5 linked regions of the Oryzias latipes genome follow. The protein of the gene in region 4 purifies or fractionates together with the protein of the main gene of each other region. This does not show direct contact. Links are inferred from orthologs where the notes say so. Each region holds a gene or a part of one and is shown on either strand. Other genes may lie near its edges.

Region 1 (3,500 bases), on a different chromosome or scaffold from region 4:
AAATTCTTTCTCTCATCTAATGTCGAAATCGAATGTTGAACTTTTTCAGGAAAGCTCAGGAATCCCAGAAGGAGATGAAGCTCCTGCTCGACATGTATAAATCTGCTCCAAAGGAGCAAAGAGACAAAGTGCAGCTGATGGCGGCGGAGCGCAAATCTAAAGCAGAGGTTTTTTTTTTCCTCTTTGTTTACCCTTTCAGTTCATGAATAGATTTAAAAGATGAATGCTTAACCCCTTATCTCAAAAACCTCCAGGTGGAAGACTTCAGGATGCGAGTGCGAGAGCTGGAGGAGAGGGAGAGGAAAGAAAGCAAGAAGCTGGCTGATGAAGATGCCCTCAGGAAGATCCGCGTGGCTGAAGAAACTATTGAGCATCTACAGAAGAAACTTGCTGCAACTAAGCAGGTATTTTTGTCTCTCAATCCCATTCTATCAAACTAGAAAAGTTTTATTTGTACACGTTTCAGCCACAAAAACATCCATATCACAATTCATTATTTTCTACTGTCACATAAAAGTTTGACATTGACGGAAAAACGGAGATCATTGACCGTACAGATGTTGAAGCCTTTGGGACTTCACTGAGATGTATACAAGCTGACAGCTGTTGTGGAGTGAAACTAGTGTGATGATTATCATGTTTGCCTCCTAATGTTAGACTGGAGCTCAATAGGAACTGAAAGCTGCTCTCATTTCTCTGCTCTAATCAGCTGAGTTCACATGAAACCAAACCTTACTGTCCTGCTTTGAAGCAACAAGATTGTTGCTGATAACCTGCAGGTTTTTTGTTTTTGTCTCGTCTTTGTGCTTTTGTTGCATTGTTGGTCAACGGTATTCAAAATCGTTTCAGTAAAGAATTTGCTATAATATATTTAATTACCTCAAAATATTTATTTATCAGTCTTTACTTGCGACAAAACAAAGATTCAAAAATGAAAAGCAACAAATTTCAAAAACTAAAATGTGGATAAATTCTTTTGGATGTGAAAGATTGTTGTGGGTTTTCACCTCGATTCTAAATTGAGGGGAGACTAAATTTTTATGGAAAAGATCATATGAAAACCACAATTTGAAATATATTTAATTATGATTTGCATAGATGGGGGAAAAAACAGTCTTGAGAATCTTTGTTATTTCAGTGTTTGGAGTTTGAGGGGCAAAAATAGATTGGATGGAGTCTGTCGCTCATCATCATCTGAACACTTTTGTATCTCATTTCATGCCATGAAGATATTTTTCTTTTTTATTTCAGTTGAAAGCTTGTAAAGCTGTGTATTAAAAGGTTGAGTTTTACAAATGAACCAAAAACAGTTTTAGTTGCATCAGGGGAAAAAAACTGTGGTTTTTAGATGTGTGGCCATAAATAACGAAGCTTAGTCTGTCAGTCTTGAGGTTCAGGTTGCAGTTCCTCAAATGATCACCAAGAGAAAGTTGCAAAAAGGAGCTACCGGTATATAAATGAGGTCGATCTGTTGCGTGGGTTGTGTGTTTGTGTGCTCTGTCACACGCAAATCACACAATGTTCAGGTGCCACTCTGATATGTGTCTTTATTTCAAAAACCTTACATTAATATGTTGCTTTAATTGAAAGTGTGACAAAGAGCTTGTGTGAAGCCTTTCATCCTCACTCTATGAGTAGTTTTCTTTCTCTTCCTAACATTTTAAACAGCGGTTTTTCAGGTTTATTGCTTCGGTCTCTACATATTTTCCCCTAAATCGGCTCTTGCTTTTGGTTTCAGGAGGAGGAGGCTTTGCTCAGTGAGATGGATGTAACTGGACAGGCCTTTGAGGACATGCAGGAGCAGAACAGCCGGCTGCTGCAGCAGCTACGGGAGAAGGACGATGCCAACTTCAAGCTGATGAGTGAGCGGATCAAATCCAATCAGATCTACAAACTGCTGAAGGAGGAGAAGGAGGAACTGGCTGACCAAGTTCTCACCTTCAAAACCCAGGTGGGACGTGACTCCCCCCTAAACCTGAAACTGACAGGTTTCGTACTCGAAAGCAGGAAAAACACCAATTTGCTACTTTTGCTCTCCTGCAGGTGGACGCCCAGCTGCTGGTTGTGCAGAAGCTGGAAGAAAAAGAGGGAGTCCTGCAGAGCACACTGGCTGCTTTGGAGAAGGAGCTTGGTGTCAGAACACAAGCGCTTGAGCTCAACAAGAGGAAGGTGAGAAGAGATGTCAGCCGGTTCCCCTTCACCCTTTTACAGCGGAGCTTTAGCTCCAGGGTTTTCATTCTTTCAACTACTGCAACTTTTCAAACATGTACAGCGTTGACGTCATTTCAGCAGATTCTGACGTTTTCAGCTTTACGCTGATGTTGCAACACTTTGCTTTAGTCGAAGAGTTGCGGTATGTCAAAGAGTGTGTGTTATTTAGGTGACGCCAGTGACACCTCCGGTGATAAAGGGTCAAAGAACAAATGATGTGCATAAAGTAATCACCAAATAAAATAAAATATAAAAGCCCCCCCCCCTATCTGATGTATTTGCATGGTGCTGTTAAAAATACACCTACTGATGAAAAAGCGAGAAGTGGGACCCTGCTCTTTGTTTTTTTACATAACATTTGCTGTGATTCAGCCATGACTTTGTTGTCACTTTTCAAATCTCGGTTGGCCAAAATCCCAACCCATTTATAGATGAATAATTCATGGTTTGATCACGTTGGTTAAGCCTGTGCCAGTAGGGAAAAATGCAGAAGGTGTCAATCAAGCTGTCGGCTGACTTTGCTTGCATTACACTTCATTTACAAAGGGAGCCTCTTACCTGTTTATTCATTTTAATGAGAACATTTTCTGGTTAAGTTAAGCTCAGAACAGGGTAAACTAGTTGTATCCTCTGGCTGTCTGCCTTAATCACCGAAATCAAACCAAAATCTTGAATTGCAAATCATTCTTTGAAATCTATTGTTAACAGGAAAAATGAAAACAAAAAGATTAGCCTCATTTGCCACTTTAGCCATGCTGACTCAACCTCCCCTCTGCCACTCAGGAATCCAATTTAGCTGCTGTTTTCACTGAGTGTTCCTGCTTCCTTCCCCTGCTGCAGGCGGTGGAGGCCGCTCAGCTGGCAGAAGATTTGAAAGTGCAGCTGGAGCACACTCAGGCCAAGCTGAAGGAGATTCAGGTCTCTGTGGCGGAGAACCGCACCGCCCGCGAAAGAGAGAGCAGCAACCTTAAGCGGGCGCAGGTACGCCAATTCCCAAGCGCATCATGTCGATGAAAATCTGCTCAAGTGCCTCCTGAGTTTCTGGGTTTGGGTTCATGTGAAGCATTAAGCTCTGAAAACCGTGTCCTCTCACCCCTGTAGGAAGATCTATCCAGACTAAGACGGAAGCTTGAGAAGCAGAAGAAGGTGGAGGTATACTCTGATGCAGATGAGATCCTACAGGAGGAGATCAATCAGTACAAGGTACAGTTTCCAGTTGACTTTAAACCCACGGCTGGAAATGGGAGCGCAAAAGTACCAGCTGCACAGCACATTGAGACTAATTAAAT
Region 2 (3,372 bases), on a different chromosome or scaffold from region 4:
ATACTCATAAAGATATTAGTTTCAAGTTTTTGGCAATACTTTGTGTAACCAGATGCTTCAATATTTAGTAAAAAGTTTGTTTTTAATATTTAAAGAGTTTTTTAAATGTCCATCATAAGAGGCAGTTGATATTAGATGTATAGAAAAACTAAAGATGCAAGTACTGACATCTGAGTAGGTTTCGTTGCTGTCGAATATTGGTATCGAAGGACAACCAAAAATTGGGGAGGACAACCAAATATTACTTGCCTGGTTGTCTGGAGGACAACCATTTTTTCCCCCTGATTTCTAACGCTGCATCTGATCCTCAATGATTCAATGATTTGAATTAGAATTTGAATTAGGAAAAACTAAGAAAGAATTTGAATTAGGAAAAACTAAGAAATGCCATTTTAATCCCAATTTTCCTAATATATGTCCTCCATCATGAGAGAAATGCGTGTGGGGGTCTTTCAGTAAAATGTGTTGATGTGGTGCTCGAGTAAATGAATGTTCCCGACTCTCCTTCAGCCAAAAAATGTTTTTTATTTTCAAAGTTTCAGCCTTTTTGAGCCGTTCTGAACAGAAACGTTAAACAATAATTCCCTTTTTATTACAAAAATACAGTATAAATGAAAACAGTAACACTGTGACGTCAAACCAACATTCAAACTAAAGTAAATCTCTGATTTCTGCTGAGGAACATCTGTGTTGTGGCTCAGTTTAGTCACAAGTCATCTGGTTCTGCGCTTCTTTTTCCAGCAACGTGTCGACCATCTTGGGTACAAAAACCTCCAGAAAGTGAAAAAAGTCGTGGAAAGCTCCCGGTTTGTCGCTGCTAGGCTGCAGCCGGAGCACCGCCTTTGTGCTCTCTGTCCCCCCCACCACCTGGGGCTGAACTCTGAACTCCAGGGCTTCCTTGAGTTGGGCTTCTTTCTCCTGGATGTGGGCTGTGACCTTGGACTCCAGCTCTGCACAGCTGCCCTCGGCCCCGGAGTCCGGGCCCTTCAGGATTTCCCGCTTCACTTTCCTCCTGCCGGCCCACACCGGATACTTCTGCGTACAGATCCACGGGGGCGCATCCGGCTTTCCTCTTTTCATCAGCCTGGCTTTTTTGCCTTGGGGCGAAACTGAGGTGTCGCTGCCTGAAGAGAGCAACCTCTTTGCTCCGACCACCACCGCGTCCTGAGGACTTTGTTCCGTCTGAGGTGGAACGCCATCAAAACTGTCATTTCCTGAGGAGTTCATGGAAGCTGGCGGGCCTTCTGCTGCCTCCTCTCCTGCTGCAGCGTCAGAGGACACCGTGAGGTGACACTGGAGAACGGCTCTGAACACCTGTTCCACAGCAGAGAGAACCTTCTGGAACCACAGACGGCGAAAATCCTCTCCCGCCGTGTGCAGCTCGCTGCGCATCGCCTCAGGGAGCGACGTTGATTTAAAAGGGATGCTGATGCTCAGCTGCTCTGCTTTGTTGAGCGAGACTTCCCCATGAGGGGTAAACAAGCGCACCAGCCCCCATGACTTGCCCTTGGCGGACTTGTGCTGGTACTGCAGGCTGCGGCAGTACTTCTCCGCCTCCTGGCATTCCCTCTGGAAGTTGTGGTGGGAGCGCTCGTTCAGGTTTCCGGCTACGTTGTGGGAGAGCTCAAAAGGATCCAGGAGAGTCATGGAGCCCAATTTGGGGTGTTGGCGACTGCCTTTGGGGGGGTTTTCCTCCTCTTCTTTGCCTTTGCCAAGAAAATCTACAACAGGAAGTGCGCGCCCCTCCCTTAAGGATACGACATTGCTGGCAAAATCAAACTTTGCATAGAAGGAGAAGAAACCAGCCAGCAAGGAGGCTGCAGGAGGAAGACAGAAAGTCACATTTAGACCCCATAAAGCAGAAATCCCCCACCGCTTGAACGCCACACAATATTTTCACAGACTGTTCTGTACGAGGCTGAAGTCGAAGACTCTAATTTCCCTTCATTTTGTGAGAAAGGTTCATCCTCTGTAAAATACCTGCAGCTGTTTTAAATTAAGATTTCATGTAGAGACCCTTAACATGGGACACAGATTTTCTTTTAACCCAGAACTATCAAAGTGGAAGCATAAAAAATAAGACGCCAACTTCAGCCTCGTCCGACTTCAACTTCCGACGGAAAATTAAAATTTAAACAACTTTATTAGCAGCATCCTCTTAACATTAGACAGCCGGTTGTTGGATTTTCTGCATCATTATTATGGTGTGTGGGAACAAATGTCACAATAAATCCATATTTGGAGCTAAGACTCCTGGTATTTGTCTGTTGAATGCAGATATTTTCAAAAGCTCCTCTTCTGTTTCCTCACTGACTCTTTTCCATTAGTTTTCAAAATAAAACCTCCTTCAGAATCAGATTATAAATAAAACGGAACCCTAACGCGGTACCAACTGTCCCAGGGACCGGGGGTGGGGGACCGGTGCCGTAAAGGACATTTCTGTCTGATTAAAGTCACTTACAGAGGTCCTGTGTGTTCTTGCTGGGAAGCACAGCAATGGGTTGACTGGGGAAGGTGCAGTTCCAGCCTTCAATCACACACTCCTCTTCCTCACCTGCACAGAGAAAAACCAAAACAATAAAGTTAATTTATTTTATTTTTTTAAATGTGCAAGAATATTTTTTGCGGCACCTAAACAAACAAAACCCTAGAAGAGGAAAATGTATTCAAACATCCCAACTCAAGCTTTTTCCCTTTTATCCTTTCAGCCTATAGAGCAGCGGTCACTTCCTGTTCATAGCTGCAGGTCATCAGAAAATGGAGAAAATGCTTAAAAACGCATCAGAGGAAGGCAGCACTTACAGGCCATGTCTTTCAGCTGCTCCACTGTGGGGAGAACAGGAGGCTCGCAGTTCTGCAGGTAAAAAATGACCAGCAGGGTCAGAGCGTAGTTGTTGAGGAGGGGGCCGGCGCCGCTGGGGTTACCTGCAGGTCAAAACAGGAAACTGTAATCCAAAAAGTCAATAAAACTATTCAGTCTATCTGCTGCTTTGTCTCCTGTTTAGATTGACTCTGTGCTCAAAAATACAATAAAGTTTATATATTTTACTATGTTTCTCCAAGATGACATGTTTGACATGATACAAAATACATTTTGAGTCAAACATTTACTTCAAAATAAAAGTCTAGTTGTGTTTAGAGAAGCACGGTGCAGCTCCAGTGACACCTGTTGGTCAAAGAATGAAATAGCAGCCAATTCAAACCAAGAACTATTTTCCACACTGTTCTTATCGCACAAAAACAAAATGGTTATGAGCTTACAAAAACCCCAAAAGGTTCTTAAAATAAGAGCACGTTACCAGCCAGCTTCTTCTGCCTGGCCCAGAATCGGATGGTGTACACCAGAGGCCTCAGGCGCTCCTCCATCCCAGA
Region 3 (3,341 bases), on a different chromosome or scaffold from region 4:
TGCATTTGACTCAGCTTAAATATGCTGGCTACAGGCTAGCAGTTAGCTTCAGCGAGAAACTACTCACATTTCTTTAGCCACTTCATCCAATAGCGAACAATAAGGCTGTAATGTTTCTTGTTTTCAATGCACCAGCTTGAGAGTCCTTGTATCGACTCCATGGTGTTAGACACTGCCTGAAACCGGCGGTCCAACGACGCTTCCAATGCAGCGGTGGAGCTGCGAGCTCCCTGGCCGCTCGCAGCCTCGGAACCGGCCGCCATATTTCAAGCTCTATCAACTAATGATAGGGACGAGGGCGAAGGCGTGATGGAAGACAAGGCAACGCAGGGGAGACCACGCCCCCCGCGAGTCATTACATATGTATTAACTTCATGCCATAAAAATACCAACCTACACACCAATATTTTAACTCGGTATTTTTTTTTTTTATTTGGGCTAAAAACTTATGAAATGACCCAGGCAATTGAAGCGGTTAGCAAACAAAATCAAAGATGAAGTCTTTTTTTCACATTTTTTAATTAAGGCAGTTTTAAATGTTACAAGGAAACATGGCTAACCTCTGTGGATAGGGGGTCAACACACTGATGGGTCAAAAAATAAATGATGCGGTAACTGTGTGAAAGGTGTCTAAAAGCAAGGTTTCAAAAAATAAACTTCAAAAAGTAAAAGGTCAACTTAGTGATAGTGTGTTGTCATTAGGACATTCTTCCTAATCAACAAAGACAATATGATTTAAGTTGAGGATTTTATAGCAGAAAATGAGCCGAAACAGACTGATTTAGGTCGGAATCAGTCGGTCTAAACAGGACAGACTTGCATCCAATGAAATCAACTAAATGCAAAACTACATATACTGCCTTGTATACACAGGAGCTCACTTTTTCTTAGAAAAACAGGTTTAATGTGCCCCGTATTTTCTGTTGAAGTCTCTTTATTGAGTCTTTGTTCCTTCCTCCTCAGCAGCCAATAGATAATTCTGGCTATTGTGAGGCAGCAGGTCTGCAGGTTTGACTGTAGCAGTCCTTATTTGAAACAGATCTCTCCCCTCGAAGGTTTCAATCATCGGTGCCGTCCAACACACTATGGCTGAGGGCAAGGTCCCAGTAATGTTCTGTTCCGTGCTTCTTGAAGTGTTCTCGGGCCATGCTCTCTGTGGGACACTGCTTGAACTTGATCTCTCCATAACTTCGATCTTTACCTGTTCCCTAAGGAAGCAGAAGGAACCATTAGACTTGGATGGACTAAAGAAGTTCTAAATGTGCAATGGAAACAGAATAAATGCATGTTCACTCACCTCCCAAATCAACCAACACTTGTTGTTTCTCTTTGTGTCATCAACATCTGGATCTAAGATTTGAAAAATGTGAGCATATTTTATTTGAAGCAAACACTGAGCCAACAATAGTACGGTATGTAGAAATAGCTTGTGTCCTGATAATTGACATAAACCACTTTTGAACCGTTATCAGTGGTTGGTGAAAACTAAAAGCTACAAAAGATAATTACCCATAGCTGTATAAATAAACTGCAAATCTCAGACACATAATTTCTTAAACTTGCGATTATTATTTTTTATAATTTGCAATCAATTAAGACGTTTTTCCATAGCAGCAATACAAAAGCAGTAATCTTACCATCTCTTTTGCTACTGTGTTCTTCCCACTTGATTCTATGCAGCATCAACTTCCTGAATTTTTTCTGGGATTTAGGGCCTTCAAGGGAAAGAGACAATTGATTCTTTATTACATTTCATATATGAATTTGCTGGCATTTTCTCTTCCCAGTTCAGATCAAGTGAGGTTCAATTGAAAAAAAAAATCAGTATTTTCTCTCTATAATGAAATCTTCTAAACAGTAAATGAAAGGCTATATAAACAGTAATAATTGAAACATGTCAATAAATGTGTTATTAAGTTTCAGCAGATCAATATAAAAGGACATCAATATAATTTAAACAGATTTCTTCCTTACCTCCCTCTACAACAACAAGATTAACATCTCTGTGCAGAACTACTGTTCCAGTCAGGTACAGCTGGTTTGCATTGGCCTCCACCTTAAACTTCTTTGCAGGATTTGTCAGGTTACGGATTCTGTAAGATACAACATTTATATTGGTTTTCAAGGTGTAAAAAGAGCTTTGAAAACAGATATTTAAAAATATATATATTTGCTGTTCCCGTCCTCAAATGCATACCTGTACACTGAAATGTGAACTCCGTTAGTGAGGTCTTCTTTCAACTTCTTGACCTTCTTCTCTTTTCTTTGCTCTGTTGAAAGCTTTCGAGCTGCATTGGCTTCCTCATGAGCTCTGAAAAAGTGTCGCTGTTAGAAAAACACTTAAGAAAAATGTGAGTCTCTGTGGATTCTCACGGTAACAAAACACCTACTTTTGTCTTTTTGCCATCTGTGCTCTCACATGGGCCTCTACTTTAGTGGGGTCCTGGACCGCCTCCGTCCCCAAGACTCTCATCAAGTTGGAGATACGAACTTAAAAGTACAAAAAAAATCATCATGTACCATTACTTGACCTGATTACAGGCATAGAACAATGTTCACTTGTGTGCAAGTACCTTTAGGTTCCGGTGGTGGCATCAATCCAAGACGGACCTTTTCCTGCAATTCTTTTTGTGCCTCCCTCCGCGTTTGTCTCCTTAGTTTCTTCTGTTCTTTCTTTGTCAAATACACACCCAGGGTTACTGGTTTATCAGTGTCCACTGGGAAAAGAAGAACAGTTGTAAAGAATATAACTAATATTAATGGAATGAATGTAATCAGAGCTTTTTCTGTCAAACATGTCAAATAAAACATTTTATTCTAGAACCTTGAAAGAAGCTAGAAGCATTAAAAAAATTACACAGAAAAACAAATGTGTGTACTTTTAACTTAGAGATGGCAAATTTTTTGCTCTGCATTTACTATAATAAATAAATGTTTGTTTCCTCAGGAACATTCCTTGATACAAAGTTTGCCATTTCAAGACAAAAAAAAAGTTCCTCCACACAATAATAAAAAAAATTCATTAAAGACACTGAGGCAGAAAAATGGTAATTGGAATGGTTCTTCAAAACAGTCTGAGACTTTAAAGTTTACAGATAAAGAGAAAAAATACTTAGACAAAAATCCCTTACAAATGTCTTTAGAGACCAGTTTTGACCACAGGAAGAGTTTAGATATTGTACAGTCAAAACTGGGATTAAGTCTGGCAAGGGGTGCCTAACAGGATGTTAGCTGAGGACATGTTACAGTGGATTTCATCAGATATAGCTACAATTTTCTAATTTAGTGGTTAACAAATCACTTTTCAAAAGTTTATTGGACTAGGATACTTACTTTACGGT
Region 4 (3,500 bases):
TAATGAAAAAATACATATATGGCGTTCGTCATTCGTTGATGTGCCCAGATGTTTGTCAAGGGTTTTCAGGCTTTGCGTAAATTCAAATTTGAGCTCTTCTAAATTTTTGGTTTCCCCGTTTACGCGTATTTTATGTCGTCTATTCGCAATTATTAGATAAATGTTACGCAATTGTGCGCGATTTTTGCGAGATGCACATGCAAATTTGTGACTTTCTGCCACTTTTCCACGTATGTCTATGACCTTTCTCGCACGGACCACTGAATTATAACCTTTATATCACGTAATCGCCGCACACATGTTAAACTTTCATAATTGACACACGAATCACTAATGAATTGAATATAAACAGCACAATAATCAAACACGCTTCATGTTCGTTGATTTACGTGATCATTGCGTGGTTTAGTCGTATTTCTTCCGTGGTTTTAACATGAGTCATTCGTCATGCATCTGTAGTAAATTTCATGTAAAGACCACAACTTCTCTAACTTTTTTCCCTCGCATATTCACGTATGACTCATTTCTATCTAGGCAACATAGGCAAAAAAGTACTTTGTGGCTGTGAGACACCACGTTTAGCACCCGTGTTGACATTCTGTCAATGTCCAAGTCTCCTCAACCATTTACACAAGTAGCGGAATTCCCGTGGATTCTGAAGCAGAGAGAAACAGCTTTGAGCCGAAATGCGAAACTTTACCGTAGTCATGTATGGCAACGATTTGTAATGCCACGGCCCGGTATGACGTCAGACAAAACTTTCACGGACCGGTCTTGAAGATGTGGCGGACAATTATTGTAGCAAAGCTACGATGAGGAAGGAACAGAGACATTACAATACGAACTCTGAGCTTTTATTTTGACAGGTATTGTACGTCGCACAGGTGTCATCATCCTCTCCCCTTCCTACACTCATGGTGCAAAAAAGACGTACTGTATATTAAATGTAGCTTTCTTTATTTTGGAAGTGGAAGGCTCCTCTTCTGTCTCCTGGCTGGGCGTTTTCCCCCCTGGCAAAGAAATTTTCCAAAGACGTTTGTTTTTTAACTCATTTAGCTAGCTCCTGGGTTATATTTCAGCGGTAACCTATCACGTGACCGAGAAGAGCGCCTTGGTCTTGACATAGACGGATGTTACAGAGAATCGGGCAATTTTACAAAATAAAACATCTTTCAGATTCCAAAATAAATAAAACAGAAGTAATGCAAGTTCTTTATTCTTTCTCTGCGGCCCGGTACCAAATGACCCTTGGACCGGTACCGGTCCGCGGCCGGGGGGTTGGTCACCGCTGATCTATGGCACATCGGCGCAAAGCTACTTTTCTCTGCTTCAGAATCCACTGCAGTTACGTTAATGACGTCATTGGTCAAAGATGTTGAAAGAGCGTGACCGCTCTGCTGTTAAAGGGTTAACACTACAGTGTTTGTCATAGTTGGAAACACTAGGTGTTCCGATGTGCGGTTCGGATGAAATCATCTAGTTCCTCTTACCAACAAACACCGCACGACTTTCTGAAGGAGGACACTCACCACGATCTGATCTTCACTAGCAGGGGACACGCTGCTGTCATCAAAGTTGTACCACTTTCCGTCGTCTTTGTTTTTAGCATAAGCGGTGTCTGTGGGGCACATGAGAAGGCAGCCCAATAAAGAGTTTATTCATTGATTGACAGGTTAGCAAAATAATGATGGCTTGATGTTTTCCCTGAAAAGAGACGCAACATTATTTTCTTAAAATAAAAGTGGATTTCGCCAGGCAGCAGTGGATGCAGTTTGCTTTTTTCATAGCCATAAAAACCTGCTTAGAGTTTGTTCTGCATCACAGAAGACAGCTTTGTAAAAAAACAACAATATGAAGCTATTTTAATCAACAAAAGCTGCATCTCAAATTAGGAAAAATAGAAGAAAAAAAAGAGTTCTGCCTCTATTCATAACAGTGTTAGCATCGGTGTGTGAATGCCGTGTTTGAATTTCCGATCAGAAGACGCATTCAGCCAAACAAAATGGTCAGATAATGTTGTACAACTTCACTTCCCAGAATCCCTTGAGGGAAAGACAGGCAGGCAATTGGTCAGAGGTGCTGATGGGAAGTTTTTCAAGTGAACTGTGTTGTTCATCTTTGAACAGCCTTTGCAGAGAATGAGACATGACAGAAAAGTTGCATTCCTTTCCAAAAAAAAAAAGGAAACAGAACCAACTCACAGTGGCCTCCTCCCATCCCTCCGTAGTGGTTGGAGACAGCGATGAGGTCGTAGCGGCATGGCCCGGCGTTGGGATTGATCAGGAATTCAGACATGTCCAAGTCTCTAAAGACACAAAACGGAGAATTTAAAGGTCAATAACTAACCTCATTACTAAAAAAAGCTCTTTTCAGGTTTTTTTTTAATTTTAAAGCTTCAAGTTGATCTCTAAAAAGGTGGTCTTGAACAAAGTATGACATATATTAATGAACTGTTTATTATTGTACCACATTTTTTGATTTAAATCACCTAAACGAAGATGTCAAATGCATGCTTGGACCCCACAAATATATAAAGATGAGAAGATGTGCGTGTGTGTGTACCTGAGTGGGAAGTCAACCAGCGAGTCTAGTTTGTCCCTCATGTAGCGACTGTAGGAAAAACGTTTCAGATGGACCACCAGCACTGGTGGCAGAGACCACAAGTCCAGCTTCTTGGTAGCCTGTTGGTGCTGTTTGCAGTTTGGACAGTACCTGTAAGCAGAGACGCGGCCAGACATGTTTCTTTTTTTAAATGACTGAGTAGCTCCAAAGCAGGTTCAATTAGTGACATTTAGCAACATCAATTATAAATTGCATCCAGCTGAGGGCTTCCCGTTCTATTTCTGATCATGCAGGGAACTAAATGTGAAATGTCAGGAACACACTTTGTACGCAGATCCTCAAGAAAAACATGGCAAGCACCTTAATATTTTACTGCCGTTTCTATCCTAACCTAACCTGCTGCAAATGTAGGTCTAATTTATGGGTTTCTAACAGTTGCACTAATACAAAGCATTTCCCCCTGATGGTTTCATGACTGTTCCACGAGCTCTGGGCTTGTCCTGAGGGAGCTGCAGGAAGGCGTGGAGCTGCTTTCTCACCACGGGTCGTCGGCTCCCAGCTTCTCCTTGGTGGTGAACAGGTCGATGCAGTCTTTCAGCTTGAAGAAAGCTTTCTTCTGAGGCTTGTACTCCATGCTCTCGTGTTTGTCAAAGTCCTGTTCTCAGGTGGACACAAAAACGGAGCAAAACAAAACAAAAAACGGTTCTTCTTAAAGATTATTTGGCAAATTCACTTGTGTATTTTATTCTGAAAATCCCTTACTAATTTCCTGCATCTTTATCCATTTAATTTATCAGCATGCAATGAACAGACTCGCCAATGAAAAACAGTTCTAGTGTCTCTTGAGTGATAAACTCAAGAACTTTAAAAGAAAAAAAATTCAGTAAAATGTCGGTTTACCTCGACAATCGTTTCATCAAAATATTTCTTCTTCACTT
Region 5 (2,211 bases), on a different chromosome or scaffold from region 4:
GTCCCTCCACGTTTTTGTCATTCAGTTTAAAAACTGCTTCACATGAATGAATACTTTAAAGGAGCCGACATTGGGAAGCATTTGTGTTGTATCCGGTGAGCTGCTGTCCAGTTGATTCCAAAACTTCTGCATCCTTTAGCTTGATGAGACTTTTAACACAGAGCCAGCAGTTTAATCCCTTTGTTCAAATTTTTTTTATTTCTGCCTTAAAAATGTGAAACATCTGGATCCAAACCCTGAATCATCAAAGTTCAATCCCACTGTTCTCGTTATCAGCTCCAGTCTGTCCTGTCCATTCTGAGGTCAGAGAGAACAAAAGAATCGTAAAGATTCAAGAAGGAGAAAGTTTAGAAAAAGAAGCATATCAAATATAAACAGCTATACAGCAAAAAATGTAAAAGACATGAAGATCAGTCCACTTTGAATGTAGCACATTTGACAAAAGACGCTTCAAGATCAAGCTTCAAATCGTATTTTTTGTCTTTCTGCCTTATTGGTCAAAGTACGGCCTCATTTAAAGTCCCACTCCAATCCTCTTTGATCTATTGTAAAAGTATCCCCACTGCTCTTTTAATGAGGATTTTCAGTCAAAAAAAACAAATAAAACATTAGTTCATTAGAAATTTACCTCTGAATTGAGGGCAACCCCATTGGTGCAAAGTAAGCCCGCCCCTATTTCCCGTCATCCATCTGATTACACTTTCTCCCACTAGCTTACAGCCCCAACCGAACATTGCAGATGCAACAAAAACGGGGAGCAATGTTGGAGCAGATAACAGTTCAGACGAGGAAAACAAAGACGTTCATGGATCTATTTGTCTGCAAGTGGATACATCAGAATGGAGCAGAGCAGGGAGCTTGTTGCCCACTAATTATAGCTTGTATGTCACCTCTACAGGCTTTCGCCAACTGTATTTCTGCTCCTAATTCGCCATGATTACAAACACAACACAATTTACATCAGAGTGGGTCTGCCAATAGGTCATTTTGGAACGAAAGTTCTCAGAAATTGCTAAACGTTCTGTTCTTGAACTCTTGTTTAAGTAACCCTGACAGAGGCTGCAGACGCGCTTTGACGTGGAGAAAGAAAATCAACAGTCACGGGTTACAAATCCAGCTGATGTGTGTGGAGGGCTGGCCTACTGGTCACTGACATGAACCCTTGGCTGGTTGGTCATTGGTTCAAGTCCCAATTCTGACTTGAAAAAGTCATAGTAAAGTAAAAAAGCCTTTGCTCCACTGCTGTAATGCCCTTGAGCAAGGCTCTTAAGAGGAGCTGTTCCGTGAACAGAGGTTGACCCGGGTATCTCCCAGGTGAAAAGAGTTCCGTCTCAATGGGTGTCTCTTATATAAATAAAGGGATAAAAAACAGCTTCAGACAGTGACTCTAGTTTTAAGTGTTCTATGAATGTGAAAAACATCTTATCTTGTTTCCATGATCAGATTCAGTGCCAGACAGAACAAAACCTTGCCGTCTTGTTAAAGCAGTTTTATGACGCTGTGCAATAATAATTGCCATAATTCACAGAAAAGTCGAAGCCTCGTCTTACTAAACAGCAGGAAGTTCAGCTGCAGCTCAGAATAGATCCAGTTTGATTGCATATGCCAAATATCAGGGCTAAAATCGATCAGGTGTTTGTTTTTCCAGGACTTGATGTGTTTACTTACAGGCAGAGCGGCTGGTTCTGCATCCTCACCATCTGTTGTCTGTGTGTGCGTCCCAGGCGGCAGACAGTGACCAGCACCCCCTGCTGGATCGAGCTCCACCTGAACGGCCCTCTGCAGTGGCTCGACAAGGTGCTGACACAGATGGGCTCCCCAAGCATCCACTGCTCCAGTGTCTCCTAGGGGGAGCTTCCCTGCCCCCCCCCCCCCCCCCCCCTTTCACGAAACTGAAAACACAGATAGGAAGAGCAGCCCGAGAACTACATGATGACACGCCTCTCATCCAGCCACTGTTTGTCCCTCCTCGCTGCCAGTAGCACTTTTTTTATTTTCTAGTTGCAAAAAGGGGACACGTGCATTAATGCAGTATCAGTTTAGGAGGATCTCAGCATATTGGTCTTTTTTCTTTTTTCTTTTTTTTTTTGAAGGTCATTGTCATTTTTGGCATCTGATAGCCAGAAAGGCAGAATTATTTTTTTATTTCCTGTTTTTTTTTAATGTCTTGTTTATTGTTTATAGCTGTTGGATACATTTTACACTCAATTA

Evidence for each region. The genes of interacting proteins can lie anywhere in the genome.
Region 1: the proteins of usp15 (region 4) and rnf40 purify together in Homo sapiens (affinity purification with mass spectrometry; 4 studies listed by BioGRID and IntAct, with this or other methods). This does not show direct contact. The link is inferred for Oryzias latipes from reciprocal best matches to the Homo sapiens genes USP15 and RNF40.
Region 2: the proteins of usp15 (region 4) and tut1 purify together in Homo sapiens (affinity purification with mass spectrometry; 4 studies listed by BioGRID and IntAct, with this or other methods). This does not show direct contact. The link is inferred for Oryzias latipes from reciprocal best matches to the Homo sapiens genes USP15 and TUT1.
Region 3: the proteins of usp15 (region 4) and prpf3 purify together in Homo sapiens (affinity purification with mass spectrometry; 3 studies listed by BioGRID and IntAct, with this or other methods). This does not show direct contact. The link is inferred for Oryzias latipes from reciprocal best matches to the Homo sapiens genes USP15 and PRPF3.
Region 5: the proteins of usp15 (region 4) and mothers against decapentaplegic homolog 3 purify together in Homo sapiens (affinity purification with western blotting; 4 studies listed by BioGRID). This does not show direct contact. The link is inferred for Oryzias latipes from reciprocal best matches to the Homo sapiens genes USP15 and SMAD3.

The regions. Positions count from the first base shown.
Region 1 is NC_019877.2:9,338,498-9,341,997, forward strand, and holds part of rnf40 (E3 ubiquitin-protein ligase BRE1B), read left to right. Parts: intron 1-49; coding exon 50-167; intron 168-254; coding exon 255-404; intron 405-1,738; coding exon 1,739-1,951; intron 1,952-2,043; coding exon 2,044-2,169; intron 2,170-3,051; coding exon 3,052-3,192; intron 3,193-3,312; coding exon 3,313-3,414; intron 3,415-3,500.
Region 2 is NC_019877.2:4,397,502-4,400,873, forward strand, and holds the end of tut1 (speckle targeted PIP5K1A-regulated poly(A) polymerase), read right to left. Parts: coding exon 3,300-3,372; intron 2,926-3,299; coding exon 2,803-2,925; intron 2,555-2,802; coding exon 2,462-2,554; intron 1,818-2,461; coding exon 703-1,817; 3' UTR 501-702; downstream 1-500. UniProt on the Homo sapiens protein: Poly(A) polymerase that creates the 3'-poly(A) tail of specific pre-mRNAs. Localizes to nuclear speckles together with PIP5K1A and mediates polyadenylation of a select set of mRNAs, such as HMOX1.
Region 3 is NC_019874.2:18,954,479-18,957,819, reverse strand, and holds the end of prpf3 (U4/U6 small nuclear ribonucleoprotein Prp3), read right to left. Parts: intron 2,718-3,341; coding exon 2,574-2,717; intron 2,491-2,573; coding exon 2,391-2,490; intron 2,312-2,390; coding exon 2,198-2,311; intron 2,094-2,197; coding exon 1,975-2,093; intron 1,716-1,974; coding exon 1,638-1,715; intron 1,351-1,637; coding exon 1,298-1,350; intron 1,209-1,297; coding exon 1,059-1,208; 3' UTR 501-1,058; downstream 1-500. UniProt on the Homo sapiens protein: Plays a role in pre-mRNA splicing as component of the U4/U6-U5 tri-snRNP complex that is involved in spliceosome assembly, and as component of the precatalytic spliceosome (spliceosome B complex).
Region 4 is NC_019881.2:6,936,941-6,940,440, reverse strand, and holds part of usp15 (ubiquitin carboxyl-terminal hydrolase 15), read right to left. Parts: coding exon 3,463-3,500; intron 3,218-3,462; coding exon 3,102-3,217; intron 2,713-3,101; coding exon 2,563-2,712; intron 2,306-2,562; coding exon 2,202-2,305; intron 1,619-2,201; coding exon 1,530-1,618; intron 1-1,529. UniProt on the Homo sapiens protein: Hydrolase that removes conjugated ubiquitin from target proteins and regulates various pathways such as the TGF-beta receptor signaling, NF-kappa-B and RNF41/NRDP1-PRKN pathways.
Region 5 is NC_019861.2:12,626,459-12,628,669, reverse strand, and holds part of mothers against decapentaplegic homolog 3, read left to right. Parts: intron 1-1,724; coding exon 1,725-1,848; 3' UTR 1,849-2,211. UniProt on the Homo sapiens protein: Receptor-regulated SMAD (R-SMAD) that is an intracellular signal transducer and transcriptional modulator activated by TGF-beta (transforming growth factor) and activin type 1 receptor kinases.